Alligator mississippiensis: one gene and its partner. The protein of the gene in region 1 interacts with the protein of each later gene in a pairwise test. Links are inferred from orthologs where the notes say so. Each region holds a gene or a part of one and is shown in the gene's direction. Other genes may lie near its edges. The genes, in order: NEK6 and TASOR2.

Region 1 (10,062 bases):
AAATGAAGGTTTACAAGCCGCCTCGGAGGCAGATATTATCACCCTTCGCATGCTGGAGGGAGGTTCCTGGACAGAAAGGGGAAGGCGGCAGGGTCACGCGCTTCTTTAGATCTGTGTGCACAGCTTGGGGATCCCGTGTCCTGCATGGCCAGGAAGCGGTTGTGTTATCCGTCCGGGAGCGCAGCAAGTGCTCGGTGCGTGTCTCATAGCACAGGAAGGCCCTGGTGTCTGGCCTGAGGCTGTGGATCCTGGTAAACACGTCGAAACGTGTTTAACAAACCACAGGAGTATAGGAAGGGAAGAGGAAAAATACAGGTCCTCCTCAAGCCTCTCTCCTTCACTGCAACGCCTGCAAATACCCAGCCAACAGCTTGGCTGCAGCAGCATCGTGACTGCTGCCTGGTAAATGACCAGTGTCATCTCGTGGTTTTGCCTTTTGCTTCCTGTTCTGTTTGCATCTGTCTGTCATCTCTTGTCTCAGATGCGAGGTGTTTTGGGGCAGAGGCTGCAGCTTTTGTTCTGTGGCACCTAGCCCCAGAGGTCCTGAGTCCTGAAATGCAAACAATAAAGTCCTGCTCTGCCCGATGCTGCTGGTGCAATTCTCACCTTTCCCTCACTGGGAAGTGACTGACCATTGATGCTATGAAATCCCTGATTTCCCCTGACACGTTAGAGACCAAAGCAGAGGAATACAGGTGAAAAGGACAGCGCAGTATTAAGAAAAAGGTGCCATGTGAAAATGAAACAATAATACATGTGAAGGAGAGACGACAAAACTGTTCTGGGGACTGGCTGGTGCAGAAAAGTCCCCTGGGGAAGGGGGACTGGGAAAGGGAAGGTGCATGCATTGCAGCTTCTGGCAGGGTCACATTTGTAACATCTGGCTGTGAAAGCTGGAGACCTCCGCCAGCTCCTTTTGGATAGCAGGCCATGCTCAGAGTAACTGCATTCCAGCAAAACTCGCCCAGAACACTTGGACGCGATCGCAAGGAAGAATGTCAGGGAAAATAGGGGAAGGGCTTGGGGTTGTCGAAGCCAGTACTGCTCAATCTGGCTTCAATTTAAATTAAAAAAAAAAAGAAAGAAAAAGAGGAGAGAGAGAGAAATACGCATGGAGCTGTGAGAAATCAAACCTGTGCTTTTGAAAACTGGGCAAAGGGAGGTGTATGAACATCCCTAACTGTCCGAAACAATCACGTGCCATCTGAAGGCAATTCGTATGCAAAAAACAATGGACCCTTACGGTGGATTGAGTGTCCTTACAAATCCCGTGATTGGCTGGTTGGAACGGATCGAAAGGGGCTAACGAAGGGGCTCGCATTTTAGAGCCTCTCACCAGAGATTTGTGGCATAGTTTAGAAAGGGGCCTGGATGAACCTGAGCAGTTCGGCTTGCAGGGGAGAGCTTCCAGCTATGTCTAGCTGTGTGCAATGCCCCACATTAGACTCTGCAAACCCCCTCCATGCATCTAAGCACAGCACAGGAATTCAGGATGGGATGACTTGCTAGTGTCGCTACCCCTGGCTCACACCCTGGGTCTCGGGCACCTTCACAGTAACATGCATGGATTTCAAAAGACCAGTCAAAATGCTCTGGATCCAAGTGAATGCAAAGCTCAGGAGTTTTCAGATGGCGTAACCCCTTCTGATCAAGGGCAAGAACCAAAGTTGGCCATGCTTTGCCTTGTGAACAGGTCTGAGCTAAACAAAAACCGTGGGTGCATATTGCCTTGGACTTGGGATCATCCTGTTCTCTTGGAATTGCCCTTTTCTAGGAGATCGCTTCGGTGAATGTTAATGCCTACATATTCCTGGCTCTCTTGAGATGACCTTCTCCCGTGAGAAGATGCTGCACTGGCGAAGGCAGCCAAGCACGCCTGGTGAAGCTGGCCTTGGTGGACAGCATACAGGGAATGTGCTGGGCTTGGAGCGGAGAGGAAGTCAAGTCAAGTCGGCGATGGGAAGGGAGGGCATGAGCCTACGTCCCTACGAACAGTCTCTAGGCCTGACTAGCATAACGGTCGTTATCTAGGCCCCCGCTCGGCAACATGGGCTGCTGGGAGCTCACCCCCTGTGCTCTGCCCTCTTCACTGGTTCATTGGATAGCAGGTCAAATGCAAGATTTCAGCCTCCCTTGGCAGCTGGATTGGAGACTCCCTCGCTCTTCGACTGTAGCCTCCGGAGGGAATGCTGCGCAGATGGGAGACCGGGCTTTCCCTGTGGCTGCGCCACAAGACTGAAACTCGGCCCACAAAGCGATGAGCGTGTAGAGTCCTCTGCCTGCAAACCCTCGTCTTCAACCCGCCTTTCCACTACGAGCTAATGCGACCAGCACAACAAGCAGCTGGAGGTGAAACGGCCCCTTTCCTGCCTCCAGCGGTTGTACCCATGCCTTGCAGGTTGAATCTCCTGCAGCTTCTGCTGAGGGGAAGGCGCCTTTCCCCTTTCACCCGCTGCTCGATGAAAGAATGAGGAAATTCCATGAGCAGGAGCTCACAGTTTCCAGCCCTGCTGGGCAGAGGACAACGGGGCCCTTAGTATTATTAATTTTCCCTCCTAGGTTTTTTTCTGAGCAAAAGAAAATGGTTGAATACGAGCTTTTTCTTTACGTCGCTTCATCCTTTAAAGTCCTTTAGAGTTAACAAAGTGGAGGCAAAAAACACAAAACCTTCTGTGTCTGTATGAAAAATCCTTCTGTTCTTTACCCCAAACACTTTCCCAAACCTAGCATCTTTTCTGAAAAAGAAAACTTCTTTTAAGCAACAAAACCTTTTCTCCATCATACTTTCCCATCTCCCCTTTCCTGGATGGCAATCGCATACTCCAGATCCCATGCTGTGAAGGATATTCTGCCACTGGTCACATCTGGTTCCCTGATGAGATCCACAGGCAGCTGGGCTGGAGTTGTTTTCTGGGGCACGTGACCTGTCTAGGTTGCATTATCTTCCCGAACACCAATTCTTTCTGAATCCCCTTTTTGATTCCAATTTTTTTCTTTCTTTGCATCACTTTTATCAGTTTTGCGACTAAACTGTTGCACGAATGTTCATGAGAACAACTCGCAGATCTTAATATGGTAAAAATAATAGAGGTGTTTCTCTAGGCAAGCTGGTGGAGATTTTCTGTACTGAGTTTTCGACTAGTTGCATACTGGTATGCATTCCTTTAGCATTAATTCTTCCTTTGGGATTCGAACCTTACAGAAATATGAGAACGGAGCATGCATGTAGCAGACATAGTATGGAAGTAGCTTGCATGTACTGTATGTATGTGGAGAAGACGTGCTGCAGCTTTATAACTGGAGAGGAAAATTCACAGCCTTTCTTCTTTGGCTACTGCTGACAAAAGTCTCTTTCAGCTCATTCTGTTTTTTATTTGGTAGGGGGGATTTTTTTTTATTGAAAACAACTTCTTGCAGGAAGTAGATACAGTGCACAATGACCAGAAAACTAACCAACGAGGCAGGATGCATGTATTGATATACTTGGTGAAATCCTGCCTTATTTAAACCTGTAGAGCCAAGATGTTATCAATCATGGACTATCTGATATGACTGTGATCATACTGACCCTATAAAGACTGTAAATTAAGACCCAGATCATAAAATCATTGCTCTAAAAAATTAAACCAGTTAAGTGAAGCCAACAGCAGTCTGATGGCTCTTAATGGCAATAACTTCATTAGAAGGGATGCTGAAATATAAATAAACATATATAAATACACATCTATCTATCTATCTATCTATCTATCTATCTATCTATCTATCTATCTATCTATCTATCTATCTATCTATCTATCTATCTATCTATCTAATTTGATTTGGAGTTATGCAGTCTAATCCTACAATCCTTGGACAGTTGCAAGTGGCTCCGTGTTTGTTAATGCAATGTTTTTAGCACGGCCATGCGGAGCCAGGGGTGCAAGATGAATTCATGATTTTACAAGAAGCTTCCAGGAGAAATTGTCCTTTGAATTTTTCCTCTCTGATTTTTCCAGGAAGGAATTTCCCGTGGAATAATAATGCACCATGTCAGGCTAAATTCATCTCCATCACGATGTAATTCAGGAAATTTAATTTTTTTCTTTCCTTATTGAATTCTGCTAACTCGAAGTACGGGTAGAGCTGTATGGTCTGTGTAATCGAGCAGTGAAAAGCCCGGGTCTGGTAGCTGTGCGCAGGAGCCCAGCACACGTTTAAAGACATCTCGCCTAGGAGGTATTGACGGAGGATGGCAGAACAAACCTCTCGTGCTCCTCTTGGCGCTGTACGCTCACGACATCCTCGTGCCTCAACTCTAGAGAGCGTTATCTTTCAGAGAAAGGAGGTGGGGAAGTCTACAGCTCCCGGGATGCCTGAGATGTAGAGGGAAAAAAATGACTTAATGTTGTTTATCGAAGCCCTACCCGGTGTTGCAGATTTGGTACTGATGGATTGACGATACGATCTGCTTCAAAACCAGGTGGCCTCTTCGTTTCCATCTGTTATGTCTACTGCTCTGTCTCTAGCGAGAAGCATGGCATAGCTGCGCAGGCATCTGCACCCATGAGAGAAAATGCCTCGCATTATCACAGTAATGCAAGGAGGTACAGCTTATACTCGCGCAGCGTCTCGAGTGCTAATACACAGGAGAGACTCGCGTGCCGGACAGACGATGTCTGCACGTACCCACGCCGCCTGCACCGCTGACCTCACACGACAAAATCGAACAACAAAGCCCAAAGCCAGCCAGGGCAGGGCGTTTCAGGAGTTTCTCGTGGATGAAACTGCGTTCAATTCACGTGGAGCTCAGACTCATTCCAGACGTCTCCTTGGTTTGGCAACAAAAAAAAAAAGCGTGCCTGAAACGAGGAGGTTTGTAGGATGAACTCAGTCATTTAATCCAGCGCTTGCCGCAGTTTCTCAGGTTCCTGCGAAACAAACTTATTTCGAAGCTGAAACCACGCGAGCTTGAGCCTGCTGGAAAAACAGGGCGCTGCGACCCGAAACGTCTCAGGTGATCGGGGGTTCCACGCAGCTCTCGTGGACACGCCGCGCCGGCGGAGAGGGGACGCGTATCTGAACAGCGCGGGACGCCGAGCGGCCTTCGCCGAAGGGGCCGTGCGTCCGGGCACCGTCCACCTCTCTGTGTGACACCGATCGCTGCTGCGCGCTACTTCACCCTTCCCACGCGGCTATCGCGCCGTTCCCCACGTTGCTGCGTCATCCGGACCTCGCACAGGCGGCTGCCTGCATTTATGGCGCGATTCCCCCGTTCACAACCTGGCGGCTACTTCGCGGGGGCGGCCCGTCAACATTTATTGCACATCCCCCCCCATGTTGCTGAGTGATCCGGACCTCGCACAGGCGGCTGCCTGCGTTTATGGCGCGATTCCCCCATTCACTGCCCGGCGGCTAGTTCGCAGGGGCGGCCCGTCAACATTTATTGCACATCCCCCTCATTTCTGTGCGATCCAGACTTTGCACAGGCGGCTGCCTGCATTTATGGCGCGATTCCCCCATTCACAGCCTGGCAGCTACTTTGCAGGGGCAACCCATCAACATTTATTGCGTGCCTCCCCATTTCTGTATGATCCTGACGTTGCACAAGCAGCCTGCCTGCATTTATAGCGCGATTCCCCCATTCACAGCCTGGCGGTTACTCCGCAAGGGCAACCCGTCAACATTTATTGCGTGGCCCCCCCATTTCCACGTGATAAACACTGTGCGGGGGTGGCCGGTCTCCATTTATTGCGCATCCCTCCTTCTGCACGAGCACCACTTTGCACAGGCGGCGGGTGTACATTTATTGGGCGATCCCCCGGGTCATTATACGATCACCACTTTGCATGGGGCCGGGTCTACATTTATCGCGCCATTGTTGCGTGACCCGGCCTTGGCACAGGCCGCTCGTCGACGTTTATGGCGCGATTCCCCCGCTCACGGCCGGGCGGCTCCTTCGCAGGGGCGGCCCGCCAACATTTATTGCGCCTCCGCGAGCCCAGAGCATTTATGGCGCCCCGTGTGGTAACCCCCCTCCCCGCCATGCAGGTGACGGCCGCATGCCTCCCCCGAGCCGCGCCAAGCCGCGCCAAGCCGCGGGCGGTGGGCGGGGCGAGTGCGCGGAGCCCCGCCCCCGGCCCCGCCCCCCGGCGCGGCGCGGCGCGGCGCGGTGCAGCGCGCGCGCTCCCGGCGCAGGCCTGCGTGGCGGCTGCGGCGGCGCGCCGGCGGGGGCGGGGCTGGCGCTCGCGCTCGCGCCGCCGGGGGCCGGGCCGGGCCGGGCGCGGGGGCGCGCGCAGGCGGCGGGAGGCGGCGCGGGCGCTCGGCAGGTAACGGGGGCGCGCGGGAGGGGGGGGTTGGCACCGACCTGCCCCGGGGGGCACGGCGGGGGGGGAGCCCCCCACCCCACCCCACCCCACCCCACTCCGCTGGCGGTCGTGGGGAAGGAGCCGCGTGCCGTCCCCGCCGCGTCGCGTCGCGTCGCGCCGTCCTTCCTGTCACGAGCGCGGCCGGGCTGCGCCGAGGGGGCTCGGGGGACCCCCGCTGCTGAAAATTACCTCAGGTTCCTCCGTGGTTCTGGGGCCGTGGGGACGGGGGCGGCTTGGACGTGGACACGCGACGTGGACGCGCGGCTCTCCACTCTTTCTGCGGCGTGCCGGAGTCCGGGGCGCTTCCGGAAAGCTCGACGGTAGCAACCGAACGGAGCGATCCCGCCGTCGCGGCGGGGCAGCGCAACGTACCGCCGGTCGTGTTTGCGCGCTGAACGGCGCCGATGCCGCGTGGCCGCCCGTGGCACCCTCGCAAGGACGGGGCTGGGCCCGGCGACCCGCCACGCTGCGGCACCCTGGGGTGCTGCCGCAGGCGTCACGGGCGTAGGTACGTGGCCGACTGGGACCGGAGCGGTGCGGACGTGCAAAAGAAACGCTTGCACACTCACCTTGCGCCTGGACCCGAGGGTCTCGCGAGGTTCCCTCCAGCCCGAAATCTGTGACGCGACACCGGAGGCTAAAATTGCCCGTGAAAGGTTGAGACCTACCGAAAAGTGAAAACGAAACCCTTGACGGGGTCTTTTCATTTAGCCTTTCTGTTGGCAGGTAGTGCCGGCGGATGATAATACTTTATCCAGTAGGTTTCATCAGGAGATCTTCATGTAGTTTTTGAAGCAGCATTGCCTTAATTTGCAGATTAAAAAACCCTGGAGGAAGGACCCATCTCGGACCAGGCCGTGCAGGGAACGGAAGTCAATGTTTGATCTTCTCGTTCATACGAGTTCTAGGATAAGTTTTCGGAGGCCCCTTCGCGGTCACGTTGCAGTCCCTTGTTATAAAAATGAGAATTGGATTTTAATTTCTCAAACTTTATACATGTGTCTCGTAGCTGTTGTCTTGAGAAGCCGCTAGCTTTCAAGAAATGCTCAACCTGTGAAAGCAGCACGGTGCCGCTCGGACACAGATACCGCGTGCCGCTCGGACACAGATACCGCGTGCCGCTCGGGCAAACGTTGGCAGAGTTTTGGAAAGTTTTTGTGAGTTAGCTCTTGGGGGCTCGTGTGACATCAAGATAATGCACAGAGGAGTAAGCACAAGGGTATGGTTAGGTTGGACATCAGCAAGGACTAACTAACGTGCCAGGCAGTAATCGGTGAAATGGTTGAGCAGAGGAAGTTGTGGGGTTCAGACCTGGGCTGGACAAAATGATACAGGATCCTTTTTTGGGGGCAGTCGCCTGTTGGCTTGAGGCATGGGTTGGCGGTGATCGAACAGGTGCGGCCCATTATTAACTTGTAGGATGCAGGTTGGATTGACCTCTCTCTCAGGGAGAAAGAAGCGTAAAAGGAAACCGATTAGAGGATGGAGGAGCTGCGATGCGTGACGTGGAGAGTTGCTGGTGGTCAGGAAGGTCCAGGTCCGCGCTGTTCTCTTGCACGCGTCTTGTCCGAGGCGGGATTGCAATCGAGGTCCGCACCTTGCAACCGGTGATCTATATTACAAAGGGAGTAAACCCCTGAAACTCCCAGTTTACAAGCATCTTAAATAAATCTTAACTTTTTAAAGCATAAGTAGCCAGGCAGAAAGCTGCTGTCTTACTTCTGCTCATAACGCGGGGCACAGGCAGTAGAGTTCCTGTTTGAATGCAGGATAAACCAGGCAGCTTGAAACGTTTGTAAGCTTTATTAAAACAAAACAAATCAAAACAAATAACCACCCTGAGGTTTTTTTAAGTGGTTCAAATATAGCGGTTTGTATAGATACCAGTTTTTTTTATGTGGTTGATCTGCTTTTTTTTTCTGTCTTGGCTTAAATTTTACATATGAATTGTTTTGGATTGGATTGAGATTACTTTACTTTAAAGTCTAACCTGTGCTGAGTAGTTAAACATCTGGCCCTACTGTAAGTGCCGCAGTTTCACATGCCTGAGAAATCTCTGGGGTTAAGTTGTGGTTTTCGAATACCATTTTGAAGGTGTCAGAAATAAACTATTTTACATTTTTTTCAAGGTAAAGATCAACCATTTAATTTCTAGGAACAGGCAACATTTAAGAACGTCCTAATTGTATAGAGGGGGCTATGATATCACATTGCAAAACTATGTTAGAAATTGTATTTTGTGAAATAGGGCAGATGGTTTTCAAAAAACTTTTTTTTTTTTTTAAGCATAATGTTTACTTTAGTTTGGTGCTACTTTAAGTGTCTGGTAGCTTCATAGATTCCAGCTAGTGAGCAGCTGTCTGTCACAGATGGGAGAGGAACAAAATCCCCTTTGCTGCTTGCTTCCAAATAGGTTTTCATGCAAAACCAACAGTAATGTAACAAAAGCATCTCAGTTGGTTTCAATTTTTTTATGCATGTAGGTGAGGCAGGCAGGCGGGCAACACACCATGTTTGTTCAAAGGAAACTAGTGCTAACCAAAAGAAAAGAACCCACCCCATTTCTCTGGAGAGCTGCTATTATTTTCATGAACCTTAATGTCTCTACAAATTCTGTTTTTTAAAGAGCAGCCTGTAATACTTCACGTAAATTTGTCGAATTGCATCTGAGCGAGATTTAGAAATCAAGAAGAATCAATTGGTATTGATTTTTGACACGTTGCTCAGAGTGGCTCAGAAGAAGTCGTCGTCCTCACCCAGAATGCACCTCATGTTCCTGCCACGGTGGTGTGGACTGCATGTGTTTGTTTTCCCCTCCATCATTTTGCAGTGCTTCTTCAAGTATTTCTTCCTATTTAGCTGTATTTTGTCAAAATAAGAGGATCCGCTATCCCACGTTTGGTCCTTATTTTATACACCAAGAACAGTAAAATCAGATAACCTGGGGAATTCTTGGGGCAGTATGTTATATTTTTCTTCATTAATAAGGCCCCAGAAGGGAACTGATGGAAAACTACAGGTACATGCAGGGCTTTTGTTTAAAATCTCACAATTTGGGGGGGGGAAAGGATAACTTACTTTATATATTGTATTTTGAACATAAACTTCAAGCAGAACTGCATTTTACTGAGCTTTCAGATCATATTCTATAACAATCTGTGGTGTTGTTTCTATATCAACTAATGCTACTCGACAGCGGAAGACACGTAAAAATAACGCTTGAATTAAAATAATCAGTGCAGAAAATGCAAGCATTTATTTTTAATGGTTAAATTGAGTGATTTAAGCAACTTTGTGTCCCTGTGAAATTTGCTACTTTTACTGTTCAGAAACTTTGCCTGATTTATTAATATGTACCTTAAAGCAGCTAGATATTCTTTTCCACCCAATATCATTATTGGCTTGAGTAAGAGCTTTAGTCTTAAAATCCAGTTAGTTATTACCAGTAATTCAAATATATTTTTAAATACAAAAATTAAAACAAGCCAGTCCTAGTGTGCAACTGTGGGTCATTGACCTTGAAAGACTGGCCAAAAGAAGTACACCTTTTCCATTCAGGTGCTGGGATTGCAGTGAGTAAGGTACTATTTCATTCATTTGGCTTTTTTGTCACTAATTTAAAATATTTTAATTCCAAGGCTATTTTGGCATGTGTTGGAGGCTGGTATATATGCGTTCACACTTGTTTCCCAGACCATCAGCCATGGGACTGACTGAA
Region 2 (9,863 bases), on another chromosome or scaffold:
AAGTGCGATCACAGCCTTTTTGCACAAATTCATTAATCCTGGAGTGCACAGTTAACACACAGTAAAGCTACAGCAGTCCCAGCCAAGCGGCTGCCTCAACCCAAATTCATATAAAATCACAGACAAGAGGAGACTGGACCTCAGGAGGTCACATCTAGTCCAGCCCCCCCCCCCCCCCCCCAGTTCAAAGCAGGACCAGCCCCAACTACATCATCCCAGCCAAGGCTTTTTCTAGCCAGGTCTCTCCAAGGATGGTGAGTGCACAACCTCTCTGGGTGACCTGTTCCAGTGCTTTACTACCCTCCTTGTGAGAATTTTTTTCCTAATATCTAACCTAAACTTCCCTTGCTGCAGCCTGAGCCCATTGCTCCTTGTCCTGTCATCTGCCCCCACTGAGATCAGTCCAGCTCCATCTTTGCAACCCCCCTGCAGGGAGTTGAAGGCTGCTATTCAATCCCCTCAGTCTTCTCTTCTCCAGACTAAATCAGCCCAGTTCCCTCAGCCTCTCCTCACCAGTCCTGTGTCCCAGCCCTCTAACCATTTCTGTTGCCCTTCACTGGACTCTCTCTAAGTTGTCCACATCCTTTCTGTAGTAGGGGTGGGGGGCAAAACTGGACACAGGACTCCAGATGTGACCTCACCTGTGCAGAATAGAGGGGAATAATTACTTCCCTTGATCTGCTGGTAACACTCCTACCAATGTAGGCCACGATGCCTTTAGCCTTCTTGGCAACAAGGGCACACTGTTGACTTATATCCAGCTTATTGGATATGACAGGGGCATGTATATCCAATACCCAATATTGTATATAAATTCATAGATTCATAGATGCTAGGGTTGGAAGGGACCTCAACAGATCATTGAGTCTGACCTTTGGCTTGGGCAGGAAAGAGTGCTGGGGTCAGATGACTCCAGCCAGGTGCTTGTCTCCTCTTGAAGACCCCCAAGGTAGGGGGTTTAATTCATGCTACAAGTTTAGTTAGTTTAGTTCATGCTACAAGAGCACTACCTCCCTTGGAAGCCCATTCCAAGTTTTGGCCACCCTTACCATGAAGAATTGAATAATTCAAATTGTGGCACACACAAAAAAATATCAACAGCCGGAAGAACTGTTTACATCCTCTTTGCTGATGGATACCAAGAAGTCATCAAAAAGCTATGGTACTCAAAGCCATTCAGAAAAATGTGTTAAAATGCTTTGAAACAGAGGAGGGGAGAAGGGATTTCTTGAAATCCCAAATCTATCCTATCGCTCAGCTTCCCATTGACAAGCCACAGGTAAACACCTAGTGTGTTTTTGCAAGCTCCTTGCTGTGAGATCAGAGCACTTTGCAACTTGGAAAGAAGTTCATGGAACCTCAGTGTTGTTCTCTGTTCTCCTAGAAAAGCAGTGATATACATCTATGGGTGGATCTAGGATTTTGAAAATGGGGGTGCACATAGTGAGGTGCATCATCACATAGAATCATAGCAAATGAGGGCTGGAAGGGAGCTCAGGAGGTCCCATCTAGTCCAACCCCCTGCTCCTAGCAGGACCAGCCCCAACTACATCGTCCTAGGCAGGGCTTTGTGTAGCCAGGTCTTCAAAGCCTCCAAGGATGGAGCTTCTACCACCTCTCTGGGTAATCTGCTCCAGTATTTTACTACCCTCCTTGTGAAAAAGTTTTTCCTAATATCCAACCTCAACTTCTCTTGTTGCAACTTGAGCCCATTGCTCCTTGTCCTGTCATCTGCCCCCACTGAGAGCAGTCCAGCTCCGTCCTCTTTCGATACAAAACAACACATATACAACAACATATATTTTTCTCCAGGTAAAAATAAATCAGAACTTTACTAATCTGCTAGGGGCCTATGGCTGCGTTATTTAGTTTAAGACTGAAGCAAAAACAAATATAAATTCATTAGAATGAGGTAAAAACCATCTGCAGGGCTGTGAAATAGGAGCTTCATGACTAGGAGCAGTGAGCAGACAGCAGAACTGCAGACCAAAGGGTGACTTGATTGGTGAGACATTGAGACCATAAAAAAAGAGAAGATCATTAACACCTGTAGGGTGAAGAGTTTAGAAGGGATGGAGTAGATGACAATGAGCCATGAAGTTAGTTGATTCCCTCAACGCTGCCTGAGTAGAAATGCCACTGCCACTGCCAGAAAGTTGGTTTTAAATTTTGGGTGAAGCAGGAATTAAAGGGGTGTGTAAATGCACGAGTGCACCCCCTTGGATCCACCTCTGTGTACACCTTCCTTCTGCTGTGTCCCAGAAGAAAGGCACAGAGAAGTGTGGGCTAAACTTCATACAGCCTTGGAAAGGTAGTTTGGGAATCTCCTTTTGAATGGGTTTTTCTGAACCATCTGATTCTAGAGCAGGGGAACTGCAGTGACCTTTTTATCTCCAAGCAATTTAGTCCCTGGAAAGTGCTTTGTAAATAAAATTAGAAACACAGAATCATTCAAATTTTAAGACTGGGATGGACTCAGGCGGCCACAACTAGTCCAACCACTTTCTCCAATCAGGATCATTCCTGTTGAAACCATTCTAGATAGACAAGGGTTTGTCAAACCTTAAAAATCACAAGTCTCTAGACTCATTAGGCATTTGAATCCAGCAACTCAAGCACAAATCGTCTCTCTTGGCCATGTACATATGTGCATGGGTATATATACACAATTACTTTATACATGTATAATTTCTATATGACATAATATAGAAATCACTTTCAATACGAATGGCCAGGAGCACCAAGGGGAACTCACCTGGGTACGTCGTGGGATCTAGACAGGCACTCATAAGTCTGAGCTGTGTTGCGGATAGAGAAAGGGGGTAGAATCCCTGCAGCCTCGTCCCAGCTCTGACAGCGATTCAATGTCTGACCATGGACAAATCACTTTTCCTTCCTGTGCTATGGTCTCGTCATCTGTAAAAATAGGGGAATGCCAACACTTCCCTGCCTCTTGGAGTCCCTGAGATTCAATGGGCTGCAGATTACTTTGAGACCTTTGCATCACAATCTTTGTGCTCAGTTGCATCTTTGACTCTGCCACTGGCTTGAAGTATGACCTTGGGCATGTCACTTCCTCTCTCTGGGTCTCTTTTTTTTCCCTCCCACTGTGCATCAGTCTTGTCTCCCTCTCACACTATGTATATCTCAGCACTTAGGACCGACGGGGCTGATCTCAGTTGGAGCTAGTAGGTACCGGGGGGGTACAAATGCAACATAATCAGAGATTCCTACCATACCCAGCAGAACAGGTTCAGCCAGCCCCAGGCGGACATGTTTTATCTTAAGTAACCTATTGCAACACTTGCCAACTGGCTGTGTTTCCTCGGTGGTGGGATCTATTCTTCAGGCAGTCAAAAGCAGAAGGCAGCACAAGGTAACCTTGAGACCAGCTGGTTCAGAGAGGTATAAGCTTTTGTAGGCAACAGCCTCCTTCACCCGGTACAGAGAGCTGATATTTAAAGAAGCAATACTGAATCCTGCCGTGACTGCCGCCATCCTGGAAGCAAGCAGTGGGGCAGCACCCCCCTAAAAAATGATGGACAAATGAAAAAAGCTTTGGTTACAAATCCACAGGAGAAAATCATACGGGAAAGACTGGTGTCAGAGCCAAAAGACTACTAAAAATCTCATGTTGTTCGCTTCTCTTTCCACCTGATAAGCAGCTGCTCCATTAAGAGATCAGCTTTCTCTACGACTGACAAAAAAACCTGCTTTATATGGTGGTTAGGCAAAAGGGTTATTTATCCACTCTTTTCTATTTCAGCGGTTTTAGAATCAACCTCGTTAGACACCAGGCCCCCCTCGGAAAGTGCCAGCTGTTCATTTTCATGCATTTTTTGACTTTGGAAAAGTAACAGAGCAATTCTTCTGTTGCAAAGAACTCAGAAACACCACAGCAGGTCACAATGATTTGGGCACTGTGGATTTCTATTTGAAATCTCTGGGTTTATCCTGTGACTTGCATGGATGTAGCTGCACACATCACAATACAAATAATGTGTGGCACCCTCATCTCATGGCACCCCAGTTGAGAATCACCACGCTGCAGCTTTGCTACGACTATCTACGAGTGAATGTCACCGCTTTCTAGTTTCTTCTTTGCAGTATAGTTTCTCTGGAAGAAAAAGGGCAGCTGGGAGGAGGGAATAGCCACTGCTGATAAGGTTGCTTAAAACTAGAAGGGGAAAAAAAAATCATTGATTTCAAAATACTTTTAATAATGGACTTTGAACCTAAGTTTTAGTAGCTGCCTGCTTTTCACAGGAAGGGGAGCACACCCGTGCTCCTGTCCTTTGATCAACTGGGACTGCCTTTCAAAGTATGCCCTGCCCAGCCACTTCCAGCCGCCCCGTCGGACCATGGCAGAGCTGGGGGGTGCATGCAGCACAGCTGCTGTTGCCCTTGGCCAAGGAGCCCTCCCCATCATGGGGGAAGGTGGGCCATGAACCCAAATTAGTATCAGACAGTGCCGTGCCCCCATCCCTTCTCATGTCAGCCCCAAAGAGGCCTGGGGAAGGTGTGCGCGCTGGCAGGGGGCATGAAGGGCCAAACCAGGCGTGGCTGGGAGGCCACTCCACTTCACTTTCACCAGCAGCAGCAATTCAAACCATTAGGGAAGTGGGCACAGGGCACCTCTCCAGCCAGCCGGCAGGGCACACGGGGGCACAGGGCATCTCTCCACCCAGGGCTCATAGGGCGCATCTATACGTGCGCTTTAATATGCATTAGTCTATTTTAGACATAAAAATCGCAGTAAAGGTGATATCTTGTATTAGACCAAACAGATTTTTGCAAAAAAAAAAGTAAAAAATTTTAATTGCAAGCTTTCGGGCTCAACCCCCGCTTCATCAGGCATCGGAAAAAAGATTGCCCAAGTTCTCCTAGGTAGAAATGCAAGCTCCTATTTCGTAGGCGACTTAAAACCCGTGGGCATTTAAACATGTCCATTGGCGGCGCGTGCGTCTCAACAGCAAAACGCACACACACCAGCGCAGTTTCGAACTAAAACACCTTTTGATGTGTTTTAATTCAAAAGCACGCCACCATCACGTTCCCATTAGCACAGACACGTGTACAAACGCCCCATGATGGAAGGCGCCCCCACGCGTGCGCAGACGCGCCCAGGCGCGGCATGGAACGCGGGGCCGCCGTAGACTAGGTGGGGGGGAAAGCGGAAGCGGAAGTGGAGCACCACTTCCGGGTCAGTTTTCACTTTCTCTTTTTTTTTTTTTTTTTTTCCCTCCCCTCCCCGGCGGCGGCGGCGGCGGCACTTCCTGCGCGGGCGGCCGACATGTTCGCGGCGCCGGGCCGCGGGATGCGGCCCCGAGCCTGAGCGCGGCAGCGGCCATGGCGGAGCCGCCTGGTGAGTGCGGCGTCGGGCCCAGGGGAGGGGGAGGCTCGCGCCCCTCAGGAGCCGGGTTTGGGGGGGCTGAAATGATACCGGGCCCCTGTGTGGGTAGCCGCACGCATTGATCTAAGGACATCAGCAGACAAGCTGGAGGTGATATCTTTTACGAGACCAACTTAAATAGTTGTGGGGAACCATTTTGTCTAGCAAGCTTTCTGGTTTAAAAACCCTTTGTGGGGCTGAGGAAGTCTGTGCAGTCGGTGTGCGCTCTTCCTAGAAGGAACGAATTGTCATACGCCAACTCTGCTGCAAAAAAAAACCTCTCCGAAAACCCACAACAAGCCAAAACGTTGTAGGCAGTTTGGATTCGTATTTGAAATCTCTGGGTTTCTCTTGGGGATCCTGGGTAGGTGTTTGCACACTTAACAGTACAAATCGTCTGCATTGCAACAGGTGTGCAGAATGCTGTGCAATACTACAGTATTCTGTACAACCGTGCAGATCGTCTGCATTGCAACAGTCGTGCAGAATGCTGTGCATCACTACAGTATTCTGTACAACCGTGCAGATCTTCTACATTGCAAGAGTTGTGCAGAATGCTGTGCAATACTACAGTATTCTGTACAACCGTGCAGATCGTCTGCATTGCAACAGTCGTGCAAATGCTGTGCAATACTACAGTATTCTGTACAACCGTGCAGATCGTCTGCATTGCAACAGTCGTGCAAATGCTGTGCAATACTACAGTATTCTGTACAACCGTGCAGATCGTCTGCATTGCAACAGTCGTGCAAATGCTGTGCAATACTACAGTATTCTGTACAACCGTGCAGATCGTCTGCATTGCAACAGTCGTGCAAATGCTGTGCAATACTACAGTATTCTGTACAACCGTGCAGATCGTCTGCATTGCAACAGTCGTGCAGAATGCTGTGCAATACTACAGTATTCTGTACAACCGTGCAGATCGTCTGCATTGCAACAGTCGTGCAGAATGCTGTGCAATACTACAGTATTCTGTACAACCGTGCAGATCGTCTGCATTGCAACAGTCGTGCAGAATGCTGTGCAATACTACAGTATTCTGTACAACCGTGCAGATCGTCTGCATTGCAACAGTCGTGCAGAATGCTGTGCAATACTACAGTATTCTGTACAACCGTGCAGATCGTCTGCATTGCAACAGTCATGCAGAATGCTGTGCAATACTACAGTATTCTGTACAACCGTGCAGATCGTCTGCATTGCAACAGTCGTGCAGAATGCTGTGCATCACTACAGTATTCTGTACAACCGTGCAGATCGTCTGCATTGCAACAGTCATGCAGAATGCTGTGCATCACTACAGTATTCTGTACAACCGTGCAGATCTTCTACATTGCAAGAGTTGTGCAGAATGCTGTGCAGTACTACAGTATTCTGTACAACCGTGCACATCTGCATTGCAACAGTCGTGCAGAATGCTGTGCAATACTACAGTATTCTGTACAACCGTGCACATCTGCATTGCAACAGTCGTGCAGAATGCTGTGCAATACTACAGTATTCTGTACAACCGTGCAAATCGTCTGCATTGCAACAGTCGTGCAGAATGCTGTGCAATACTACAGTATTCTGTACAACCGTGCAAATCGTCTGCATTGCAACAGTCGTGCAGAATGCTGTGCAATACTACAGTATTCTGTACAACAGTGCACATCTGCATTGCAACAGTCGTGCAGAATGCTGTGCAATACTACAGTATTCTGTACAACCATGCAGATCTTCTGCATTGCAAGTCGTGCAGAATGCTGTGCAATACTACAGTATTCTGTACAACAGTGCACATCTGCATTGCAACAGTCGTGCAGAATGCTGTGCAATACTACAGTATTCTGTACAACCGTGCAAATCGTCTGCATTGCAACAGTCGTGCAGAATGCTGTGCAATACTACAGTATTCTGTACAACCGTGCAAATCGTCTGCATTGCAACAGTCGTGCAGAATGCTGTGCAATACTACAGTATTCTGTACAACAGTGCACATCTGCATTGCAACAGTCGTGCAGAATGCTGTGCAATACTACAGTATTCTGTACAACCATGCAGATCTTCTGCATTGCAAGTCGTGCAGAATGCTGTGCATCACTACAATATTCTGTACAACCGTGCAAATCGTCTGCATTGCAACAGTCGTGCAGAATGCTGTGCAATACTACAGTATTCCGTACAACCGTACAAATATTCTTCATCCTTAAAAGGATCTCATGGCATCCTAAGGTATCACACCCTGGTTGAGAATCGCTGACCTACCTGACCCCGAAGTCAGCTGCAGGTTCAGAAATCCAATTAAAAAAATTTAGTCTTGATCTTTTCTTCTAACCACGAGAAAACACTTCCCCCTGTGTTTTATTTCATTTGTTTGTAACCATCACCCTTTTTCCTAGTATCAAAGTTTTGCTGATGCCAATAGCAGGTCTAGACCCAAAGTCCAAGTTGTGTTTTTATTTTTTGTAGGCAAAAGTTTGCCAAACCATTTCCTCAGAACAGTTTTTTTATTTGGTGATTTGATGCCCTCCCCCATCCTTGAAGCACCAGAAGTCATCATCGTGCTCATGCAGGAAATCAGAAAGTGAAAAAGGCTAGAAACAAAAGTGAAACTGAATAGTCTGACTTGTCTAACATGGCATATGTGCATTGTTGAACAGGTTATAGGATGTGAATGGAGGGTAGAAGTGCTGTTAACGATGGGAATTAGACTGAGGGGGGCATTTTGTATGAATTCTGTGCCTACAATGGTGGGATTCAGAAATATTGGGCGAGTTTTGCTGCAGGTAGGAAGATCTTGGAGAAACCAGGTAGTTGCAAGCTAAACAAATCTTTGAAGACTGAACTCTGTGATGTGCTAAATTGAGAGCAAAGCACTGAGGGGTGGGGGGTGTTTAAGCTGCACCACATTTTTGGAGCAGAAATGGAAACCTGAGACTTGACAGAGATCTAGAAATCAGAAAAGTGATGCCTGTCCATTTTAGGCAGTGACCATTAAAAGCAGAATGCAGAAATTGGTGGTGGTGGGGACATTTAAATGTGTAAGTAGCATTTAAATGCCTTGAGGCAAAGTAGGGCTTGGGACCTAAGCAACAAGGAAATTACCACCACTAATTAGCACTGCCGCTTCAGAGGTGGAAGTGTGGTGGGCCTGGGAATATACAATTTAAATCCCTGCAATTAAATGAATCCCTAACAGGAGAGGGCACACTAAGGGGTCAGAGTGTTTCAGAGTGGGTCCGACGATTAAAGGGAACATCAAATGGCTGTGTAATAGATTAACAATGGCAACCCTGTAGGAATCAACATTTTCATTAAATGCTAAACTGACGAGCTGCTAATGGGAGACCTTGAAGAAGTGTGTCCCTTGCTGAGTTGATTGTGTCCCTGCCTTTAGAGAGAACCTTTTTTTCAAAGGAGACACAAGGCCCAATACTATAAACCAGGAATTCCCAATGTTTATGTGCCCAAGGCCACATTCACATTTTTAAAAAAGCAGCAGGCGCCAATTTGACAGCATTTTTTTGTTGGAATAATGATTTTTTACTGGTCATGAAAATGCACGTGGGCACCTGAATAAACCTCGGGGATGGTGCCCGCAGGCACTATGTTGGGAACCGTTGCTATAAACTCACCAGGCAGGGCTGGGAGCAGAAAGAACTTTCTCAAATACCATTAAATTTGCTAGTTTGCTTGTAGAGGTTAGGTGGATGGTTTGTTAAAGGGGTTACCATCTCTTTGGGCAGCAGGACAGTCCTTTTGAAGCAATTCCAGCATTTTGCTGTACAGACAACAGGTAGAGGATGATCTAAATAGGCATTCTCAGTCTCTGGAATCCGTGTGTAACCCCTCTGCCAGGCCCTGACAGCCGGAACAAGGGCTGGGTTCAAATTTAGGGGTTTTACACCAGCTTTTCAAACTGAGCTTGAGCCTCCACCCAGAAATATGGGAAAGTAACGTTTGCACTAGGTGTTCTAACAAGAACGGACTTCCCCCCTCACCAGCAGATGTTAAACTGAAATGGGCTTGATTACAAGAGGTGCAGGGGAGAAAGGAGCAAACATACAACCTTAAAGAAAACTGCTGAACCTTCACTGAAACCCTAAACAGGTCCTAGTCACTGGCAAACCAACCCACCACCCCTAGCCCAGGCAGTTGGGAAGGGAGACATACTCCAGGTTGCTGACCCTGACCTGTTTCAGACCCTGACCTGTTTCAGAAGCAAGCTCGGGGAGTTTATTTCTTTAGCAACAGTGAGCAGCAGCTTTTTTTCCCCCTGAACCCAGCAAAGATGCTTCTGGGTACCTGCATTTTTTTTCCATTTTTTTTTTTGATTTATAAGCTACACAACCATCCCAGGGAGTGATTCCTGTCTGGAAACTCTCCTATTCCTCCCACTCCTTTATGTGTATACCCTGATTGTGTGCTAAAACTGAAGGCTACCCCACTGCACGCCTCTGCCCAGCTTATGGCGAGGGCTGACTCT

Evidence for each region.
Region 2: the proteins of NEK6 (region 1) and TASOR2 interact in binary tests that used the Homo sapiens proteins (3 or more experiments, as listed by UniProt). The link is inferred for Alligator mississippiensis from reciprocal best matches to the Homo sapiens genes NEK6 and TASOR2.

The regions. Positions count from the first base shown.
Region 1 is NC_081835.1:65,887,229-65,897,290, forward strand, and holds the start of NEK6 (serine/threonine-protein kinase Nek6), read left to right. Parts: upstream 1-6,214; 5' UTR 6,215-6,305; intron 6,306-10,062. UniProt on the Homo sapiens protein: Protein kinase which plays an important role in mitotic cell cycle progression. Required for chromosome segregation at metaphase-anaphase transition, robust mitotic spindle formation and cytokinesis.
Region 2 is NC_081827.1:6,053,868-6,063,730, reverse strand, and holds the start of TASOR2 (protein TASOR 2), read left to right. Parts: upstream 1-5,258; 5' UTR 5,259-5,349; coding exon 5,350-5,365; intron 5,366-9,863.